Linked DNA regions of Bombyx mori. The protein of the gene in region 1 purifies or fractionates together with the protein of each later gene. This does not show direct contact. Links are inferred from orthologs where the notes say so. Each region holds a gene or a part of one and is shown in the gene's direction. Other genes may lie near its edges.

Region 1 (7,397 bases):
AAGAACTCTTCATAAGTTTTTCACATTTTTTTTGTTCCAATGCTGATATAGTGCACCATGTTATTAGATCTTGACCTTCTTTCCTTTGGATGCTTCCTATTTTGTTAACATTTTCGCTGCCAAAGTAGTTAGCTGAAGTTTGAGCTGAAACGTTATAAACTAATGAATTGAATTGAATTCGATTGAATAAAATTTTCGATTTCTTTTATTATGAAGAATCTTTTTTTTTTCCAACAGTTTATATCTAGTTGATTACACTAAATCATAAATAAGCGTAAAGGTGCGGTTGCAGTACAAACTTACCGGTAATAAAACATAAAATTGTAAATGAAAAAATAGCTGCCATTGTATTCTCTGTACCAGATTGTTACTTTACATAATATCAAGTTCAAGTTTCACTCTAAACATATTTATTTCCGAATTTAATTTCGGTTATTAAATGTGTTTGCAAATATTTAGACACACCCAAACATTAAACTTTTTTTAAACTATTTTTTGCCCTGGTAACCTTTAGGTCAAGTCTTATTTTAATTTATATTCTTATTTTTATAAAAAATGGTAATATGAAGTGAAATGAAATAAAGTTTATTATTATGAAACATGGGATGGCACGAAATGAAATGAGTTAATGTGAGATAAAATATAATAATAATAATAATAATGTTTTTATTGCAAGTAACCATGATTCATATAAATTGTTAATAAGACTTAGACCTATGTTAGTAGTTATATTTACATCACAATGAATTACTGTCGTAACATCCCATGGGAGATGACACCACAGCGACCCATGTATACACAGCCCAGCCTGCTTGCGATCATGCTCAGGATACTGTTGGAGCTGGCCCTCACTCTGCTTACCAGAGATGCACACCTCTTACGCATGGTAGCGTAAAAACAATCTATGTGCGCGTCTGCAAACATCCCTGATGCGCTACAAAAGCGGGGCAGCACCACCAGCACCCTAAACGCGTTATTATATTGAACACGGAGAGCGTTGTACGATCTTTGAGTATATCCAGCCCACAAGCTACACGTGTAAAAGTTAGTACAGTAGGCCTTAAAGAGGGTGACCTTGACTTTAAGTGAACACCGTGCAAACCTGCGAGCTATCATGTTTGCTCTAACCGACAACGCTCTCCGCTCTCGTTCAATATCTTCATCATCTTTGAGATCAGGGGTCAACACATGGCAGAGATATTTAAATTTATAAACTCTTGTCAATGGCGTTCCGTTGAGTACTACGTGAGGTATTTTATCATGCATCCCACCCCTGGTCTCAAAGACCATGATCTCCGACTTTTTACAGTTGTACACCAAACCGTGTGATTTGGCGTATCCCTCACACAAAGAAACAAGTTGCCTTAGGCCACAGATAGACGCGCTCAGCAGCACCATATCGTCTGCGTAGCTGATGTTGTTTACGCACACCCCGTCTATGAAACAACCAATCCTGGTCCTACTGAGTTCGCCGATCAGCTCGTTCATATACAGGTTGAAGAGCGTAGGCGAGCTCAATCCCCCTTGTCTCACCCCGCACTCCAACCTATACGGAAGAGACAAAGCCCCAGCCCATCGCACATTGTTGATCTGGTTCCCATACCAAAACTTGAGAATGTTGTTTATTTCCGTGGGTAGTTTAATATAATCTCAGTCAGATCGCTTACACCGGTCACTCACATGCGCACGAATACGCAAACCCGCAAGTGTAGGACGACATTTGCGAATCATTATGCAAAGTTTTCGCTGCATTCGTGGTTTTTCAAGCTGTGTCGATTTTTTAACAGACATCAAAGCGCGCGAACCTCGAACCTTCGCGTAGTCTCCCACACATTCGCTTGCCCAGTTGCGCCGACGATTGCGAAGGTAACGGACGTATCGCCATTTTCATAGTTCGTGACGTCTACTGTGTAGCGTATCTTCATCAAAAGAAATCCCATAAAACAGCATGGCTGTTAATGATGTTTGGGAAAGAATTCAAAACTCTTTTTCTTTTCAATGTTCTATTGACGAATTAAAAAGGAGGAGAAATTCGTGAGACATTCGTAAACAAGTGTAGGAGGAAGCGCAAACGGGTTCGCAAATTGAGTATACGAACCCATTTGCACAGCCGCTAGGTTTGCGAATGAATGTTTGACGGCCCTTCACATGCGCGCAAACATTCGTACAATGTACGAATATTTGCGCGCATGCATTCGTACAATGTACGAATATTTGCGCGCATGTCAGTGGCCGGCATTAGAGCACAGATAAAACATTTGATAAATAAGCTTAGAGGCCTTTTAATTGTTCTTCAATGTACTCTGTACAACAGCTTAAATCAACAGTTTTCGTTCATCATCCATCTTAGTATTTCATTCTTAATTTTTTTTATCAAACATTGCTATCTTCAGAAGTTAATCAAACATTATTTAACTCGTTTAATAGGTATTACTTTACTTCAAAGGGTACAGTAAATTGTACTGATATTTTTTAATTGTCAAATTTACTCATTTAAGTGGGTTAATATTTCTGCTAATGGGCTTCATGCTAATGCCACAATAATTAATACTGTATTCAATTATTGTGACATGTATCGTGTGGTCGGAAGTTGTCTGTTGTCTTAATCTTCTCTGATCTACTTCTTGTCATTCATTTTTCATATGGTAGAAGGGGATTCGCTCCGTTTATTATAATTGTAGCATTTGTGAAATCCCCACCATTTCGCTGAGATGTTATTTCATTTCATCTCATCCAACACCTGCTGGTACTGTCTTTTCTCCTCTTTTATCATTACATTTTTTATTAAATTTCACTCCAAAACCAATTTCACTTTATTTTTCATATCACAGTATGCTGCCGTGTGGTGTCTGTCTTTGTTCCATTGTTTTGTATGGGCATCAGTCCTTAAGCCAGTCCAAGGGATTCAATAATAATGTCGATTGCCGACTAAGTGCACTGTGCATGCACATACATAGTATGTATTATGGCTTTGTGGGAACGTGAAAAAATGAAGATGTGGAAATTGAAATTTGTTTAGTATTTCTTCAGCTTTGAACATGTTATATTGAAGGCTTGTTAACCGTTTAGAATCCTTTATTTGTGAAAGTGCACAAGTGTGGGAAAATGAAGCAAGTCGGGGACGTCGCTTGTCGTGTTCATCATCTAAAAAGCCCTCTAAAGTTTCATTGAATTCTCGCCAATTTACTGTGATGTTATTTCACTAAATTGGATTACAATAGATTACAATTTCTATTACATCAGTTTCATTCCGCCTCATCTTTCACTAATATTCACTATCATGTTTGAAGTAATGGAATGAAGGGATTGGCAAAAATTCGACACTATTGCCATACTGAAAAAATAGAAAATGTATTTTGTTGCCAATTGCTATTTGCTACACAAAAAATAGTTTGACACATAAAAGTTTACAAAAATATAAAACGGTAATCCATAAAACTACATACACGAGTGAAAATAAAATACTGATCATTTTTAAATTTAAGGTTCTTCAAATCTTTGTACATTTCAATTTACAATAAAAGTAAAAGACGACAGTTTCAAATATATCAATATCGATTTTCAGGTTATACATTTTGCATTCAAAACAAATAGCCCCAATTCACACGTGTTTTACAAGAAATGGTTGTTTTTACATGCAGTCATTGTGGGGAGTCTGTTCAGAAGCCCAAAGTGGAAAAGCATTATCTCACTAAATGTAGGAATAAAAATCCAAATTTGTCATGTATGGACTGTTTCAAAGATTTTCTGTGAGTATTTCGGTCTTGATTGGATATCAATACTTTAATTATAGCTCCGAAATAATAAGCTAGCAATAATATGATACTTTCTAGTTAGTTTAGGTTGGGCCAGGCCAGGCATGCAAATATCCTTGGGCCTGTGATCTGCTTCCAGCATCTGCAGATCGTCAAGTCCCACATACCCAGCGTCCCCGTAGGCGCGGAGACATCGTATGAGTTTCGACACCCGGCCTGAAAGAAAAATAAAAGGCATGCAGTGCAATCATTGTGAGCCTAGTGCATCAATCCTCAGTTTTTGGACCGAGAGCATAATGAAGTGCGACTGGTTTTAGTCTAGCTAGGGAAACTCAGTAGGTCCGCATGACCTACTGAGATGACAGACGAGAGTTATTGTTTGCCAATGACTGTTGACAACTAGGCATTCTTGTGGCAAACTGCTATGAGCTGTTTAGCATTCTTGGCGCATCAATTCGGTCCCCACAGCCAAAAAGAGATTATAATAAAAGGCAATACCAAAATTAACTTTAGGGTGAGGCTACATTGTTCTAAACAATTACTGGAGTCCGTATAGAACATAACTGCCACAAATGTCAGACATGAGGTCAAAGTCCCATTTGTACTGTGTAATGGATGTCCAAAATAGACAGAACTTGGCAGAATGCTAGTAACCCTTGCAGACTTATAATTTGTAGTGTCATGGTAATGAAATGTTTTAATTACTGGTGCTATGCTAATGAAAAACCATTTTGATTGAAGTGATTAGTTTATTTATGAAAAGGCATTAATAATATTCTATTTTTTAAACTGTGTGAATTTTTAAATTGTGTTTTTATTTCATTACATTATTACAGAGGAAAAGATTATGAATCGCATATCAAGTGCATTACTGAAGAAGAAAGATACTCTGGAAAAGGTTTCACAGCTAAGGAGAAAAAGGGTGAGAAAAAACAAAATGCTTGGGTGGAGATGTTGCAGTCAGTTTTAGATGAGCAAAAAAGTGCACCTCAAAATGTACGTAGGATTATTGAGACAATAAGCAAGCATAACAATACACCACGAAAGAAGCCTAAGTTTATTAATTTTGTCAAAAATGTCTGTGGACATAAAACTAATCCAAAAGACATTGACCAAGCTTGGGAATTTATTTCTGTAAAGCTTACAGATTTATCAAACGTAACTCAGAATCTAAATAAAGGCAATATTACCAATGGTGAAGTTAATAAAGAAAATGGGGAACAGAATAAAGAAAATGGTGAACAGAATAAAGAAAATGATGAGCAGAATAAAGAAAATAACTCTCAGAATGATGATGCTGATGTAAAAAATGTTGAAAATCCTAATGGTAATGATGTTGGTGATCTAAAAAAGCTGTCCAAAAAACAACGCAAAGAAGAGAAGAAACGTCAGAAGTATGAAGCAGAATTGCATAGTGCTGAAGCTCCCCCAGTTGAGGATGAGATTGAAAATGAAGGAAAAAAAGGTAAGAAAAAGAAGAACAGGACTGAATCACAGAATGGTGACACAGTAGAGGCAACGGAGACTAAAAAGCAGAAGAAACGTAAACGTCAAGATACAGTTAATAGTTTGAACGGAGTGCCGGCTGTTGAAGTTGTCGCTGATAACATTGAAACTAAAGTGCCAGCAGAAAAAACCAAAAAGAAGAAGAAGAAGGATGAGGAAGCAAAAGAAGATGCAAGTTTGTGTCTCCACGATCAGAATGTTGCCAGAATCGAAGAGGTTAATGCTGAGAACAATGGCAAATTTAACTGGCACGCAGTTATTATGTCAGTTTTGCAGAAGAAAGATAATGAAGTCCCATTTAAAAGGCTTCAGAAGAAAGTATTAGCTGAATATAGTGAAGCTACTGGCCAAGAGATTGATGATAGAATTGCTGATAAATTTATAAAAAAACTGAAGAGTGCTCCTAATGTGAGGGTTGACAAAAATAGGGTATTGCTCATTGAATGAATTTTTATATGGATTTGAAACATGAAAGAAAATTTTACAATTTCTAAAGACCTGTTTCCCATGTGTTCTTTTTTGTGTATTTATAACTTTCCTCTTAATCCTAAGACATAAAGTAAAAACATTATATAACCTAAAAATGTAATAAAATTGTGGATATTTATTTAAAAGTCATTTACACCCACCAACTTCATTATATTTATTTAAACGGTGAAGGTGTTTGCCATAATCCATAGGCACACGAAGAACCATATCTTAGTAGGTCAATCGCACAATTCGACATTGATCCAAGCCCGTCTCGCGGCGTCGTAACATTTGTAATTTTATTATAGACTGGTACCTATACAAACCTACGGCTCATTTGACGTTAAGTGGTTTCCGGAGTCAGCAGACATCACAACGCGAATGCCGCACCCACTAAGATCTAGAGTCAATTGTTCACTATACAATATTCTTACCTACCCTTCAACTGGAATCCATTACTGATTATAGGCAGGGTGGCAGTACCTACCTACCCTACTCTAACGAGTAATTAGGTACTCAAATTATATTTTACCACGATTTGCTCTTTCTCGATGTTACTCCTTTATTTTGGAATTCGAATCAATCAAATCAAATCAAATTTTTTTTATTCAACATAAATGAAAGTAAATACTTGTTGAACGTCAAAAGAACTACCGCCAATTCACAAAAACTAGCCTCCGTCCTGAGAAGAATTGGCAAGAAACTCAGCGGACAAGTCTTTTTTTTTTATTTAAATATGTTTTTTTTTTTTAAATATTAAATTAAATAATTCATTCGTAAACATGTACTAATTGTCTTGTGGCGGTAGCCATCGCACAACACAAGATATTTGACAAATGCCTGAATCTCGCTTACGACATTTTCAAGATAAGTTTGCATATGTACTAGTTCCGAACAACAACGTTCGGATCGTCGGTCTACCGAGCAATATCACCCGCTCGGTGGAAGATGTTCCTTTCGTCGTTGTACCTACAATCTAATAACATGAAAATTGATTCTCCCCTGGGATTTGATATTGCCACTTTTAGACCACTATCACCGATTGAGAAATATCAATGTCGGAATCAATGAGTACCGACCGTTCCCGTGTCCAACTATAGTTGCTATATAGAGCGTAATTTCAATCCCATGCGGTCTCGGCTGTGGTAGAAAACCGAGGCCGAAAGCAATTGAAATAGTCCCTTAGGCTACCAGCGATTAGACTGGACAATTGGACAGTTAATTTTACCACATTTGAAGTCGTCGTGGCCTAGAAGATAAGACGTGTTGAGCGATGCACCGGTGTTCGAATCTCAGGCAGGTACCAGTTTTTCTAATGAAATACGTACCTACTCAGCAAATGTTCACGATTGATTTCCACGGCAAAGGAAAACATCGTGTAATAAAAATCAAAACGCAAAATTGTAATTTGCGTAATTACTGGTGGTAGGACCACTTGTGAGTCCGCGCGGGAAGGTACCACCACCCTGCATAATTCTGCCGTGAAGCAGTAATGCGTTTCGGTTTGAAGGGTGTGGCAGCCGTTGTAAGTATACTTGAGACCTTAGAACTTATATCTCAAGGTGAGTGGCGCATTTACGTTGTAGTTGTCTATGAGCTCCGGTAACCACTTAACACCAGGTGGGCTGTGATCTAAGCAATAAAAAAATGCAATATAATAATTTACGG
Region 2 (6,164 bases), on another chromosome or scaffold:
AAAATAAAACTAAACTATGGTCTTTTGACAGTATTTATGAGAAAAATACTGGTGATACCAAATGATTCCGCATATTAACTCAATTTCGAATCTTTTTGGAAATTGCACACTTTTGATGCGAAAAAACGGCTTGTCTGTTGCTTTGCAGACTTGAAGAAGAACTACACGGAGATCCCGGAGGACGAGCGCTATGACGTCATCCCGGAGATCTGGGAGGGACACAACATCGCCGACTATATCGACCCGGACATCTTTGATGTGAGTATCATTCCCTTATCACAGGGATACCAGAGATTAAGACTCTGGTGGTAGGACCTCTTGTGAACTGGTGGTAGGACCTCTTGTGAGTCCGCACTGGTAGGTACCACCACCCTGCCTATTTCTGCCGTGAAGCAGTAATGTGTTTCGGTTTGAAGGGCGGGGCAGCCGTTGTAACTATACTTGGGACCTTATAACTTATGTCTCAAGTTGGGTGGCGCATTTATGTCGTAGATGTCTGTGGGCTCCAGTAACCACTTAACACCAGGTGGGCTTTGAGCTCGTATGGTAGTGCGGAACACCTCCACTTATATCTTTGACCTGCCCGGCGCCATCTGTCCGTACCTCGACAGGAACCGTCTCCACACAACTGCGTCAAATATCGTCATGAGGCTTTGGAACATTTTTATTTATGTAGTCATATTTATGAGGCTATATTATTGTTACGCGCTGGGGCTCGGGATGAATAAAATTTCACCAAAGTACAACTAAAAACTGTATTCAACACTTAAAACACTGAATATTCCACACATCTCTAGTAGTAGTTTCCGCTATCTGACAATAGATGGCGTTGTAATTCTCGAGCGTTCTAGGTCCTTCGACATTCGTTCGACTATTCGGCGATAGATGGCGTTACTTTTACCGGCGTAACATTATGTTAGTGTATTAAAAAAAAACTAGTTTTTAGACTTTTTGGATATGTGCTCAAAGTTTTACTTAAATTGAAAATTTAGATTAGAATTTAAAGGTATCGTAATTTTACCAGAAACTGGCAGAGTTGGAGAAGGACGAGGAACTGCGCGAGGCTGGCGGCATGTACGCCGCGCCCAAGATCGAGCTGGACGACACCGTGAGGGAGATCAGGGAACTGGCCCGGCAGATACGGTGAGCCCCGGCACCCTCAACCCGCCCCCACTCATTGTAGCCATTGTAGGTTCTAAATACTGTAGATTGAGGGGGATTCGGGACCCTTTCCAAATCCAACAATTTTTTTTATTGCTTAGATGAGTGGACAAGCTCACAGCCCACCTAGTGTTAAGTGGTTACTGGAGCCCATAGATATCTACGACGTAAATGCGCTACACCCACCTTGAGATATAAGTTCTAAGATCTCAATACAGTTACAACGGCTGCCCCACCCTTCAAATCGAAACGCATTACTGCTTCACGGCAGAAATAAGCGGGGTGGTGGTACCTACTCGCGTGAACTCACAAGAGGTCCTACCACTAGTGATTACGTAAATTATAATTTTGCGGGTTTGATTTTTATTACACGATGTTATTCCTTCACCGTGGAAGTCAACCGTGAACAATTGTTGAGTACGTACTTCATTAGAAAAATTGGTACCCGCCGGCGGGATTCGAACACCGGTGCATCTCTCAACACGAATGCACCGGACGTCTTATCCTTTAGGCCACGACGACTTCAAAGGGTAATACTAACTTACGGTACTTTCTAAGGGTTATACCAATAAAATTGAGATTAAAATGGTTCCGGAGGCTTAATACGATGCGTTATTATACATAGTTCGTTACAAAGTATACACAAAAACTGAAAAAACTAGCTTGACCCGATTCACCTTGGCTTTAGGGTGTATCAGGTTACATTAGGGACAATAGTTTTTCGATAGGGCTGCCACTATTTATTTGTTAGGTTGATGACTAAATTAAACTATTTAATATTCTTAAACACTAAATAAAATTAATTTTCAATTCAACAAAGTTGAAACTAACAAGTCAACAAAAGTATTGTGACATCCCAGATTTGTCCCAATTCTAACACTAGTCTCAATTCCCCCCGATCTACTGTAATCATCTCCTTGTGTTTAGCAACAAGAAGGCCATTCTCAAGGACGAGTCTCGCCTGGTGAAGCAGTCCACGAAGCCGGTGATGCCGCGCACCTCGCGAGCCAAGACCAAGCAGAGGTCCACCTCCAAGCTCAGGAAGGACATGGAGAAACTTGGTACGTGTTTCAGTTGTACACCGGGACGACGCGCTAGTGAGCACGCACCCACATGTTGAGGTCTAGTCGAGTCAACAACTTTGAACTTGTGGACTCTATTTACTCTATTTATGTGTAAAGAAGCAAAAGAGTCTGGAAGAGATCGCTCTCTCTCTCTCTCTCTCTCTCTCTTGAAAGTGCATAAATGTGGGAAAATGAAACAAAGCCGCTGGACGTAACTTCACGGGTTCCTCCAAAAAGTCCACTAAAAAAAAATTACAGTAAATGACCGATTTTGGTGATGATGATTTTACTGAGATTATATTTCATCTCATTTCATTCAATTTCATCCCAGTTGATTAATGTCTCAAATTAATCATCTTTATTTCATTTCATTTCACTCCATATTATCAATTTTAATAAAAATAAGAAAATAAATTCTTAGGTCTTAGTTACCAGGTCATAAAATCCCATAAAAAAAAGCATTGTAAATTTTTACATAAAATAAACATTTTATTATTGTCGCCGTCATATTTAGGGCCGCTTATTTAAGCGTCCTAAAATAGATGTTTGACTGTGTGATTGTTTCTCGTAGGCCGGATACTAACATTGCCCGATAATAGTGATCGAGATACTATTTTAAGTTATTGAATATAACGTTTGTATGTGTCGCTCCAGGCGTGGACATGTCGGAGACCGGCGACGCGCACTTCACCCGCGCCCGCCCCCGCTCCCGCTCCCGCTCGCTCTCCGCGCCGCCCGCCAAGCGCGCGCGGGAACCCTCCAACCAGCCGGTGGCCGACCCCATCGTGAGTACCCGCCACATTGACCTCACTACCGCTTATTTAGAGACCTCTACATGCAAACTGGTGTTTGGACCTCTTGTGAGTCCGCGCGGGTAGGTACGCCCCGCCTATTTCTGCCGTGAAGCAGTAATGCGTTTCGGTTTGAAGGGTGGTGCAGCCGTGTAACTGTACTGAGACCTTAATATCTCAAGGTGGGTGGCGCATTTACGTTGTAGATGTCCATGGGCTCCAGTAACCACTTAACACCAAGTGGGCTGTGAGCTCGTCCGCACATCTTCTAAGCAATAAATAAAAAATAGTTGCAAGTTTTTTTTGTATACCGGTCCTTGATATCCAAAATAACCCTTGTATGCCTTGGTTGCACGGAGGAGACATACAAGAACAAGGTTTCCTACAAAGTTTAATTAAAATTAGTCTATTAAAACAGTATTGTATGTTTATAAGTTCATAATGCCTCTACTGGCTCGTCCACTATCTATATGCCTGTGTAATGGAACCGCTCAACGTGACATTCATCAAGTTCAAAAGGTGAGATTGACTTGACAATGCACACGGGTCAATGACTGGTGACAATATAGTAATATTATTATTTTGGTCTCATACCTGCACTCGACAATGGTTTAGTGATTATTTTTATTTTAGCTTGCTAATTTTGTTTGTATTCGAAGTTTAATTATCTTATCTATATATATATATATATATATATATATATATATATATATATATATATATATAAATGAATTGCTGTTCGTTAGTCTCGCTAAAACTCGAGAACGGCTGGACCGATTTGGCTAATTTTGGTCTTGAATTATTTGTGGAAGTTCAGAGAAGGTTTAAAAGGTAGATAAATATGAAAATGCTCCTCGGAATTAAAAAAAAATAACAATTTTGTTTTCCCTTTGATGTGTCCCCCGTCGGACTGATTCCTTTTGTTTGTTTTTAGTTTATTTTATAAAAAAGTTTAGGGTCTTTTATTTATCGATTGATGCACTATGTTGCATAATGAGATTATTGACCAATCATCGATCACTAATAGTAAAAAAAAATATACATAATAATAAAATGTTTTTAAAACAGATGCGCGTGAAAGTAAAGAGGATGGCGCACGCGGCCATCGCCAAGAAGACCAAGAAGATGGGCCTCAAGGGAGAGGCGGACCGGTTCATCGGCACCAAGATGCCGAAGCATCTGTTCGCTGGAAAACGTGGGGTCGGCAAGACGGACCGGAGATAGTGCATCAGTGGACAGTGCTCTTTACCAATATATATATTTATACTATAGATCTTGTTTTATTGGTGGTGGTTTTTTGTTTTTGTTATTGTCCTTATAGGCAGACCGTATCCACCTGATGGTGAATGGTTACCGTCGACCATGGACATCAGCAATGCCAGGGACAGAGCCAAGCTACTAGCTGAATATCCTTAATGTAGCCCAATGGGGTCAAGTGATAGTATCGGGCCACAGGGAATGCAACCCAACCCGCTATCAATGCCATTTTTAAACGGAGTTCATTGCGCTGGATTAAAGTAAAATATGGTAGTTCATGGTAGTGTTTTTAAAAGTCGTCGAGGCCTAACGGATAAGACGTCCGGTGCATTCGTGTTGAGCGATGCACCGGTGTTCAAATCCTGCAGGTGGGTACCAATTTTTCTAATGTAATATGGACTTGACAATTGTTCACGATTGACTTCCACGGTGAAGGAATAACATCGTGTAATAAAAATCAAACCCGCAAACATTATAATTTGCGTAATTACTGGTGGTAGGACCTCTTGTGAGTCCGCGCGGGTAGGTACCACCACCCTGCCTATTTCTGCCGTGAAGCAGTAATGCGTTTCGGTTCGAAGGGTGGGGTAGCTGTTGTAACTATACTTGAGACCTTAGAACTGATATCTCAAGGTAGATGGCGCATTTACGTTGTAGATGCCTATGGGCTTCCGTAACCACTTAACACCAGGTGGGCTGTGAGCTCGTACACACATAGGCAATAAAAAAAAAATGATTGAACGATTCGAATGAGATTTCTAACAAGCGTAGTTTATAGCATTTTAATAATATTTATCAGGACCCAAGCATCGCCGGGTACTTGTTATGCTAAATACGTGACGTCACGCAACAACGAACCCGTAAATGTACTAGAAGGTAGGATCATTTTAAATGCATTCCGACAGATTAATTAATTGTCGATCATAATTGCAATCAGTTTTAACTATCAAATTATTCTGTACCATTTAATTTTTAATTTCTTGTACAAAATCAAAGATAAATATTAAATAGTTTTTATAATTGTGTATACGAGTATCTGATTAGGTTAATTTAATATTCTATCATTTTTGTAGTAACTAGTTTCTTCTTACATCAGGATACAATTGATTTTGTATTGTTGTATTAAATAGTTTTTTTTTATTGCTTAGACGTGTGGACAAGCTCACAGCCCACCTGGTGTTAAGTGGTTACTGGAGCCCATAGACATCTACTACGTAAATGCGCCACACACCTTGAGATATAAGTTCTAAGGTCTCAGTATAGTCACAACGGCTGCCCCACCCTTCAAACCGAAACGCATTACTGCTTCACGGCAGAAATAAGCGGGGCGGTGGTACCTACCCGTGCGGACTCACAAGAGGTCCTTCCACAAAAAAACTAGTCAGTAGGGTTAACTAAGCTTATAAAATAAAAGTTGGGAATGTCTAATGCTTTATTGATCTGTGGTCTGGATCCCACCGCAAAAGGAGCGGTTTGTTTTGGCGGGATTGATTTTGTTTAGTATTTTTAGTTTTTGGGGTTGTTTCATTTAGACTTTCATGTACACATGAGCGACAGATATTCTAGGTAAAGACTAGCACAGCGGCAAAGTCGAAATTCGACTATAATTAATTGAAATTATAAGTTTGTATACTAATATGGTTCTATTGGCAAATACTATTATAATTCTTTAATCACAAATCTCGCCAAGATTACACTTTAGACAAAAATGTTAAAGACGAACAATAGGGTTCATCCATATTATCTGGAACCGCTGCGTTCATCGACAGTGCGTTTCCAAAGATCTTTTTTGCCACGTACCCATCCGGCTTTGGAATGAACTCCCCTCCGCGGTGTTTCCCGAGCGCTATGACATGTCCTTCTTCAAACGAGGGTTGCGGAGAGTACTTTA
Region 3 (7,524 bases), on another chromosome or scaffold:
ACCTAAAGCATTGCTCGTAGATATTTTATGTAGAACGCAAGATATTTGATAGATGCGTGTATCTCGCTAACGACTCTTAAGATAAGCTTAGTTTAAATACAAGTTTCGAACCAACAAATTCCAATATTTTCGGACTGTCGATCTACCGTGCAATTTGACCCGCTCGGTAGAAGAACTGACTTCCCTTTGTCGTTATCACCGAAGAACCGCATAGAATTGACATGACACATGCGATCTACATGCTAGCATGAAAATACATGATTTATGAGTTGTAGATGTACCAACGCTCCGATTTTGCTAGCATTCGTTGCCTGAAGGGTAGATGCCTGGTGAATCATTATTGAGTGATTGACAGGGTTCAAGACTTATATTAGAGCACAGTTTTAATACTTTCTGAGACATGTATTGCTACATGTTTACAAATGACGGCCATGCTGTACATGTGCACGTTCTTTGAAAGTAGGTAGGTATGGCATATGGACCCCAGTGACCACTTAGCAGTTGGATGGGCTGTAAGAATGTAATATTTAAAAAAAGCCTTAATAGCAAAATTCATTGACAACTAGAGTGTAGCTCAATTAGTAGAAATTGGGTGCTTATTTTGTCATTTTTTTCTAAGGCAACATAAATGATCAAGTAACAGCTATTTCTTTATTTAATATTCAAAGCTATACAACTCAAAGTTATAGAAAACAATAAAAAAAAAATTTAAAAAAGCAGTTTATTTCTGGTTTAAAAATGACATTGTTCTTTTTATTAACTGTTTTGAATTTTCTTTAAATAATGTTTTGACTTATATACAAGGAGTAAAGGACATTTTCTTAGTAGGTAATCCATCAAAAATTTAAAGTATTTAGGTATATATTGTTCCAAATTTTTTATAACAGACAATTACACTTCTATTTTTTTTTAATAACACTACATACACCAAATACTATGCCAATTTATTGCCACAAAACTTATACATAATATAATGACAATTACTGAAATTTAAGAAGGCAGGTACACAATCATTCTTGCTTCTTACAAAAAAAATCCTTTGAATAAATTAAACACATGGGTTTGTTTTTTGGTAATCTTATTAAAATAAGTACAATTATAATTTTATATGGTTATGTCTTGAATTGAGTGGGGCACTACAATCCCATTATTAAAACAAAGACAAAGAGCTACACTTTCAATAAATGTCTCTTTTACACAATTTAAAATTATATATTATACAGTAAATCTCATTAAACATTTTAACTACGGTGGGATTATCAAATAATCTAAAGTAATGAATTCATTTGAAAAATTGAATTTCCAAATACAAAATTTCAGTTGAATCGACAATTTTCACTTGGAATGCTTTATCATTTACACATAATATATACACTATTTATACATACAGTATGGAAGAATACAAATTTATATTAATTGTCTCACTGAAGCATCAGTCAAGTTCACTAAAAAATTCTATTTCAATAATTACATATTTACAGCATTTCATCTATTTTAAAATACACATTATTATTTATAAATTTGCATTAACATTTCACATTTACCAGCACTAGAATCAAATTGAATAATATATGTTTACATTATATTATTAGCTTAGTGTCAAGTTATTTGCTATTGTCTTATTATTTTCATATGGCTAAAAATTGATGTCTTAGTGTAATAACTACTTAATTGACAATCACTTATTTCATGTGCTGTGTGGGCTAGCTGTTTCATAAAATAGTAATACAGTGCAATTTATATTTACAAATTACAATGTTGCTAAAATTCTTGTAAATCCTATTCCAGCTCCTAGTATAGTTTGACCAATGCCCCAAACCATAGCATGTATGGGAGGCATCGCCATATTAGCAGCACGGTATATAAATGCTATGGCAGCACTACAGGCTACGCCCGAAGTCACTGGACCAACTACACCCATCACTATCAGCAGAACAGGAAAAAACTTGCCATATTTGTGCTTCCTTAGAGTTCCAATGGCTACAAGAGCCGCACATGTGTGCACAAACACTGAAGAACATAATGACCAAAGGAACATTGGGTACCACATTTCACCAAACGTATCTAACGGATCACCAGAAGTCAATCTTAATATATCCACAAATGAATCGAATTCTGAAACTCTGAATTCAGACAACATGTCATACATGTTGCCCTTCGTTTCTTGGAAACTAAAGGCATCTGGGTATCTGGCCTTTATTCTTTACCAAAGAAATCGTATGAGCGGTATAGAAACTAATGTTTCTGTTGGACGCATTAATATTTGACTGTTGTACTTATACAACATTATCCATTCGTTTGAAATTTTATGTGTCTTCACAATTTATAAAACTACTTTTTTAACAATTTATAGTAAAGCTAGCTGTCATATATAGCATGCAGCATTTACGTGTAAATTCTTTTGTCCTCAATATCCACTTTACCTAAAGACTACAAAGTAATATGGAGAAATATTACCTATCTACTCCCTAGTTTGTACAACCTGTCGAGAAATTAATTGTTTTGAATTGACAGTCGATAGATTTGACGTTTTTACCGTGACAATACTAGTGGTTAAATTTTTCTAACTGAAAAGGCGAAGGTATTTTTTGGACGGTCAAATTTGAGAGGACTGGGTTCTGCTGGTGAGGGGTTATTTAAAAACACTGCTTCATGTTTAATATAATTATATTGTAAATACTTTGTACACTATTACACCATTATAATATTTTATTTTTATAAAACTCTAAGATGTTGCTCTGACCGTGTCTAGATGAGAATTGTCTTCACATCATTATTTGTTTTAAACATATAAAAGCCTTCCAATATTCGAAATATGTAACCTTACATGTGTCAAGTGTTGCCTGCCATTACGTTCATATTCAAACTCCAACATCCCCCGTCAACACACATTTAACGCCCTGTATATAATTTAATACAATATTCCAAAAAAGAATAACACTAACCTGACCTTCATAAATTTAACATTACCTTCCATACATACATTAAAAACTCACAACCATTTATATTCAATTACCCCACTTAATCCCTCTCAATTCAACCTTTCAAACTTAATACCAACCTTAAAGCTACCTATATATTATATATATAGAATAAACGAGCAGTTTAAAGATATAAAATATGCATTTATCTGTTATTTAGGAATAAAGTTCTAAAAATTCTTAAAGGGTACTTTCTCAACTTAATATATAATAGTATTACTAGCGTATCTCAAAATAACACAATTTACTATTTTTTTGATTTGATTAAGTTGTATGCTACGTAAACAATTTAATTCGAGCTAAAGACTAAAGTTCCCTGTAAGTATAAATAAATTCATTTATAAGACAGTATTTTGTAATGTTTAAATTTCACAAATATATTGATTACATAGACAATACAATGAACATTAACCAGAGATCAAAATATATTTCTATTTTAAACAGTATTTAGAAATTATGTAGGTATAATCTGATAATCTATCCTCCTCCTTTGTATCTATGTTCATAGTTATTTTATAACTACTGCTGGCGCCTCTGCCGTTTTGTTTTAACCTTTTCCATAAAGGTACCTTATCGATAAAATTTAATGTATTAATACAACATAAATCAATAAAAGCTGTAAATATTGTTCCTAAAAAAACAAACTTGGGAATTTTTTGTTTGTCATCATAGTAAGTATTTTTCAACTCATTTGTGCTACACCTACAATATTTTTGTGCAGTGTGAAGTAAGCTACTTTTACATTGAGTTAGTTTGACAAAAAAAAAATGTGATGTGACGGTCCACACATAACCTCTTGTAGTAGATTAAAGATCATTAATTGTGTAATAAAAGTGAAAAAGAAGTTTTTTTTTTCCATAAACGTGTATTAAATCGCATACAAATATGGGAAAAGTTCGGTCGACTCCGGGTGCTCCCCGGAAACAAGGGTTTAATAAGTCTGGGCATTCAATGAACCCTGATCGACCCACAGAGGGTTTGAAAGGCGTAGGCAACCCGAGATCAAAAGGAACAATTAAGAGACTACAGATGTACCGAAACTTTAAGGCAAAAAGGGATAAAACCGGAAAAATTCTAACGCCAGCACCCTTTCAAGGTTGGTTACCATCAGGCACACAGGCACGCGTTGAACCAAACCAAAAATGGTTTGGAAATTCAAGAGTTATATCACAGAATGCATTGCAAAAATTTCAAGAGGAGTTTGGAGCTGCTGTAAGAAATCCATATCAAGTGATCATGAAACCAACGAATTTGCCCATAACATTACTTAATGAAAAAGCAAAAAATGCAAGAGTTCACCTTCTAGATACTGAAGGTTTTGATAGGACATTTGGTCCTAAAAAGCAGAGAAAAAGAGTAAATTTGAAATTCAGCGATCTAAATGATTTGCATAAAGCGGTAGAAGAAAGCTCTGAGAAATATGATGAAACTAAAGATATTGACAGAGTCCGTGAAGATTCAGGTGTAAAAGAAGGACAAAGAGACTGGGTTTTTGGGGCTGGAATGAGTAGGAGGATATGGAATGAATTATACAAAGTAATTGACTCATCAGATGTGTTATTGCAAGTTCTTGATGCAAGAGATCCCATTGGGACAAGAAGTCCTTATGTTGAAAAATTTTTGAGAGAAGAAAAACCCCATAAACATCTTATATTTATCTTGAATAAAGTTGATTTGGTACCAAATTGGGTGACACAGAGATGGGTCGCAATTCTCAGTGCTGAGTATCCAACGATAGCATTTCATGCTTCATTAACACATCCTTTTGGTAAAGGCTCACTTATAAATTTACTACGTCAATTTGGAAAGTTGCACATTGACAAGAAACAAATAAGTGTAGGTTTTATTGGTTATCCAAATGTAGGAAAATCATCTGTGATTAATACTTTAAGGTCTAAAAAAGTTTGTAAAGTAGCCCCAATTGCTGGTGAAACAAAAGTTTGGCAGTATATCACCTTAATGAAGAGAATATTCTTGATTGATTGTCCGGGTGTTGTTTATCCATCAGCTGAAACAGACACAGAGAAAGTATTAAAAGGAGTAGTGAGGGTTGAGCTGGTACAAAATCCTGATGATTATATTGAAGAAGTTATTAAAAGAGTCAGAAAGGAGTACTTAGTGAAGACTTATAAAGTAGATGGATGGGAAACAGCTACTGAATTTTTGGAAAAACTTGCAGCAAGAACTGGAAAATTGTTAAAAAAAGGTGAACCTGATGTTAACCAAGTTGCAAGGATGGTCCTTAATGATTGGCAGAGAGGTAAATTGCCTTTCTATGTAGCTCCAGAGGGATTTGAAGTACCACTCTCTAAGCAAACACAAGATGAAAAAACTGTTGAAGTTGCAAACGAAGAAGAAAAGATAACAACTGAGACTAAAGCAGAAAAAAATAAACCTGAAACTAAAACGGACGATAGTGATAAACCTATTGTTCATATAAGTAATTTGATGATTGCACAAGATTTTGCTAAGATAAGAGTTGGATTAAAATTTGACAACAATGAAGACATAAAACCTTTAGGTAAAATAGTAATATCAGAAGACATTAAAGTTAAAGATGGTGAGAGTGTCCTAAATTCATCAGTAATTGAAAGTGATGATGAAATAGAAAAAAATGATGATGAAGACGACTCTTCAGATATTAGCGAATTCTATAGTAATGATGAAAAAGAAACTTCTGATGTGGAAGACCATTTGACTAATGATCCCGAAACAATTAAAGAAATGAAGAGAAAGAAATTAGAAGCTGCCAGTGGAGCATTTACTGTAGAAGAAGTAGCACAAAGTGGAAAGAAACACAAAATTAACGATCAGAGTAATGAGTTTTCAAATAAGAAAATGACTGCAAAGAAACGTAGAGCCATAGAAAGAGCTAACCGCCGCACTAAAACAGGAAGCAACTTCTATGAAGTGTCTAATGTTAAAAATAGAAATAGAAATAAGAAAAGGCCCAATTTACCTTAATTTATTGTTTAACATGCCAAGAAAATACATTTTTTTAAATAAAATCTTTTTAGATTAATGTGTTTGTTTTTTATTAGTATTTTAATTGCTTACGAAAATAACTAGCTTCAGCACAATCCTCTACTATGCTGCTTACAGAATATTAAATTTTCAATTTTTTTTGCTGATATTTCAATAATAAGCTGCCATTGACAATTTCATTAGAGATATTTTAATTTATTACTGAATGAACACTGAATAATTTGAAGTATGTAGGTAGGTAGTACACTTGCAGTATTTTTTTAAAGATAATTCGTATTGATTTAGACAAAAAATCGGAACTTGAATTTAAGTTTTTATTAATTCTCTGTTCTGCTATTTTCAGATGTCATCAGGGAGTGAGAGCGACGAAGACTATGTACCTGGAGAACCGGAAAAACTATCTGAAGAGGAATCTGCTGATGATGAAACTGAAAAACAATACGAACATGAAGTTGAAGGCAAAATAAAAAAACGGAAAGCTACAGCTGAAAAAATAAATAAAGTAAAGAAGTCTAGAAAGAGCCAAAATGATACAATAATACAAGTTACATCAGAAAAAGATAAAACACCTGAACCAATAGTTGACTCTGAACAAGAGAAAAAACGAGAAGAAGATTTGTGGGCGAAGTTTCTTGAAGGAACCGATTCAAAGCCTAAACCAGTTCTTAAAGAAAAAAGTGTTGATTTAGTTACCAACCCGGAAAGGTCAAGCAATAATACGGTAAATTATAAGAAAACAAATGATGATGATGCCAAAGAAAAAGAAAGAAGGATTTTTGAATTTGCTGGTGAAAAAATTGTAGTAGAAAATAATGTCATAAAAGAGCGGTTGAAAGTTGACGAAACATCTATGGAAGGTAAACTTAAAGCTCCCACTGTAAATGAAAGTTAAGAATATATAACAGGACTAAAGTTAAATTTGTAATACCAAAATATTAACAGATATAACTGTTCTGTGATGTAAGCCCATAAAATATATTTGTGTGCAACTTTATAGTCATAAATAATTCAGTATAATGAATCTATCTAAGCAGTTCTAAGTATTAAGATAATATGTGTGAATATGTACAAAGTATCTACATATATTTAATAGGTATTACTAGTAAATGCTGGTTCTTTCAATGAGGAGTTTGTGACTAGTGGCAGAACTTTGAAGCAACTCATTATATTTTTTTATCTTTGGTGCCTGATGCTCATTCATAATAGACTGACGACTTACCATATTTTTAATACTATACTTACTTATAATTTTAGCCATTAAATCTGATGGTTCCCAAAATCAAACATCAGATATAACAGCTCAGTCATCAAGTAGTGCAAAACCTGGTGGACTTTCTAATGTTTTGGGTCAACTAAATAAGAAAAACAGATTGTCTACCTTAGAAAAATCGAAATTAGATTGGGTCACTTACAAGCACGAAGAAGGAATTGACGATGAAATACAAAGTCACAACAAAGGCAAACAAGGGTGAGTTATTCATTAGAAATTCAAAGAAACACCACAATATATAGCTATTAATAGCAACTAATTTCATCTTTTATTAGAGCTCAAGAAATT

The links.
Region 2: the proteins of cell growth-regulating nucleolar protein (region 1) and nucleolar GTP-binding protein 1 purify together in Homo sapiens (co-immunoprecipitation; 3 studies listed by BioGRID and IntAct, with this or other methods). This does not show direct contact. The link is inferred for Bombyx mori from reciprocal best matches to the Homo sapiens genes LYAR and GTPBP4.
Region 3: the proteins of cell growth-regulating nucleolar protein (region 1) and uncharacterized protein LOC101746403 purify together in Homo sapiens (affinity purification with mass spectrometry; 3 studies listed by BioGRID and IntAct, with this or other methods). This does not show direct contact. The link is inferred for Bombyx mori from reciprocal best matches to the Homo sapiens genes LYAR and GNL2.

What each region holds. Positions count from the first base shown.
Region 1 is NC_085132.1:5,508,579-5,515,975, forward strand, and holds cell growth-regulating nucleolar protein, read left to right. Parts: upstream 1-3,276; 5' UTR 3,277-3,425; exon of another isoform or gene 3,426-3,485; intron 3,486-3,565; 5' UTR 3,566-3,621; coding exon 3,622-3,749; intron 3,750-4,591; coding exon 4,592-5,708; 3' UTR 5,709-5,875; downstream 5,876-7,397. Other genes in the region: transferrin 2, read right to left, coding at 1-144, 304-346. UniProt on the Homo sapiens protein: Plays a role in the maintenance of the appropriate processing of 47S/45S pre-rRNA to 32S/30S pre-rRNAs and their subsequent processing to produce 18S and 28S rRNAs. Also acts at the level of transcription regulation.
Region 2 is NC_085108.1:540,450-546,613, forward strand, and holds the end of nucleolar GTP-binding protein 1, read left to right. Parts: intron 1-148; coding exon 149-258; intron 259-1,024; coding exon 1,025-1,143; intron 1,144-2,088; coding exon 2,089-2,222; intron 2,223-2,879; coding exon 2,880-3,010; intron 3,011-4,084; coding exon 4,085-4,240; 3' UTR 4,241-4,287; downstream 4,288-6,164. UniProt on the Homo sapiens protein: Involved in the biogenesis of the 60S ribosomal subunit. Acts as a TP53 repressor, preventing TP53 stabilization and cell cycle arrest.
Region 3 is NC_085117.1:10,939,970-10,947,493, reverse strand, and holds the start of uncharacterized protein LOC101746403, read left to right. Parts: upstream 1-3,464; 5' UTR 3,465-3,866; coding exon 3,867-5,900; intron 5,901-6,309; coding exon 6,310-6,823; intron 6,824-7,220; coding exon 7,221-7,434; intron 7,435-7,524. Other genes in the region: transmembrane protein 170A, read right to left, coding at 1,751-2,149. UniProt on the Homo sapiens protein: GTPase that associates with pre-60S ribosomal subunits in the nucleolus and is required for their nuclear export and maturation.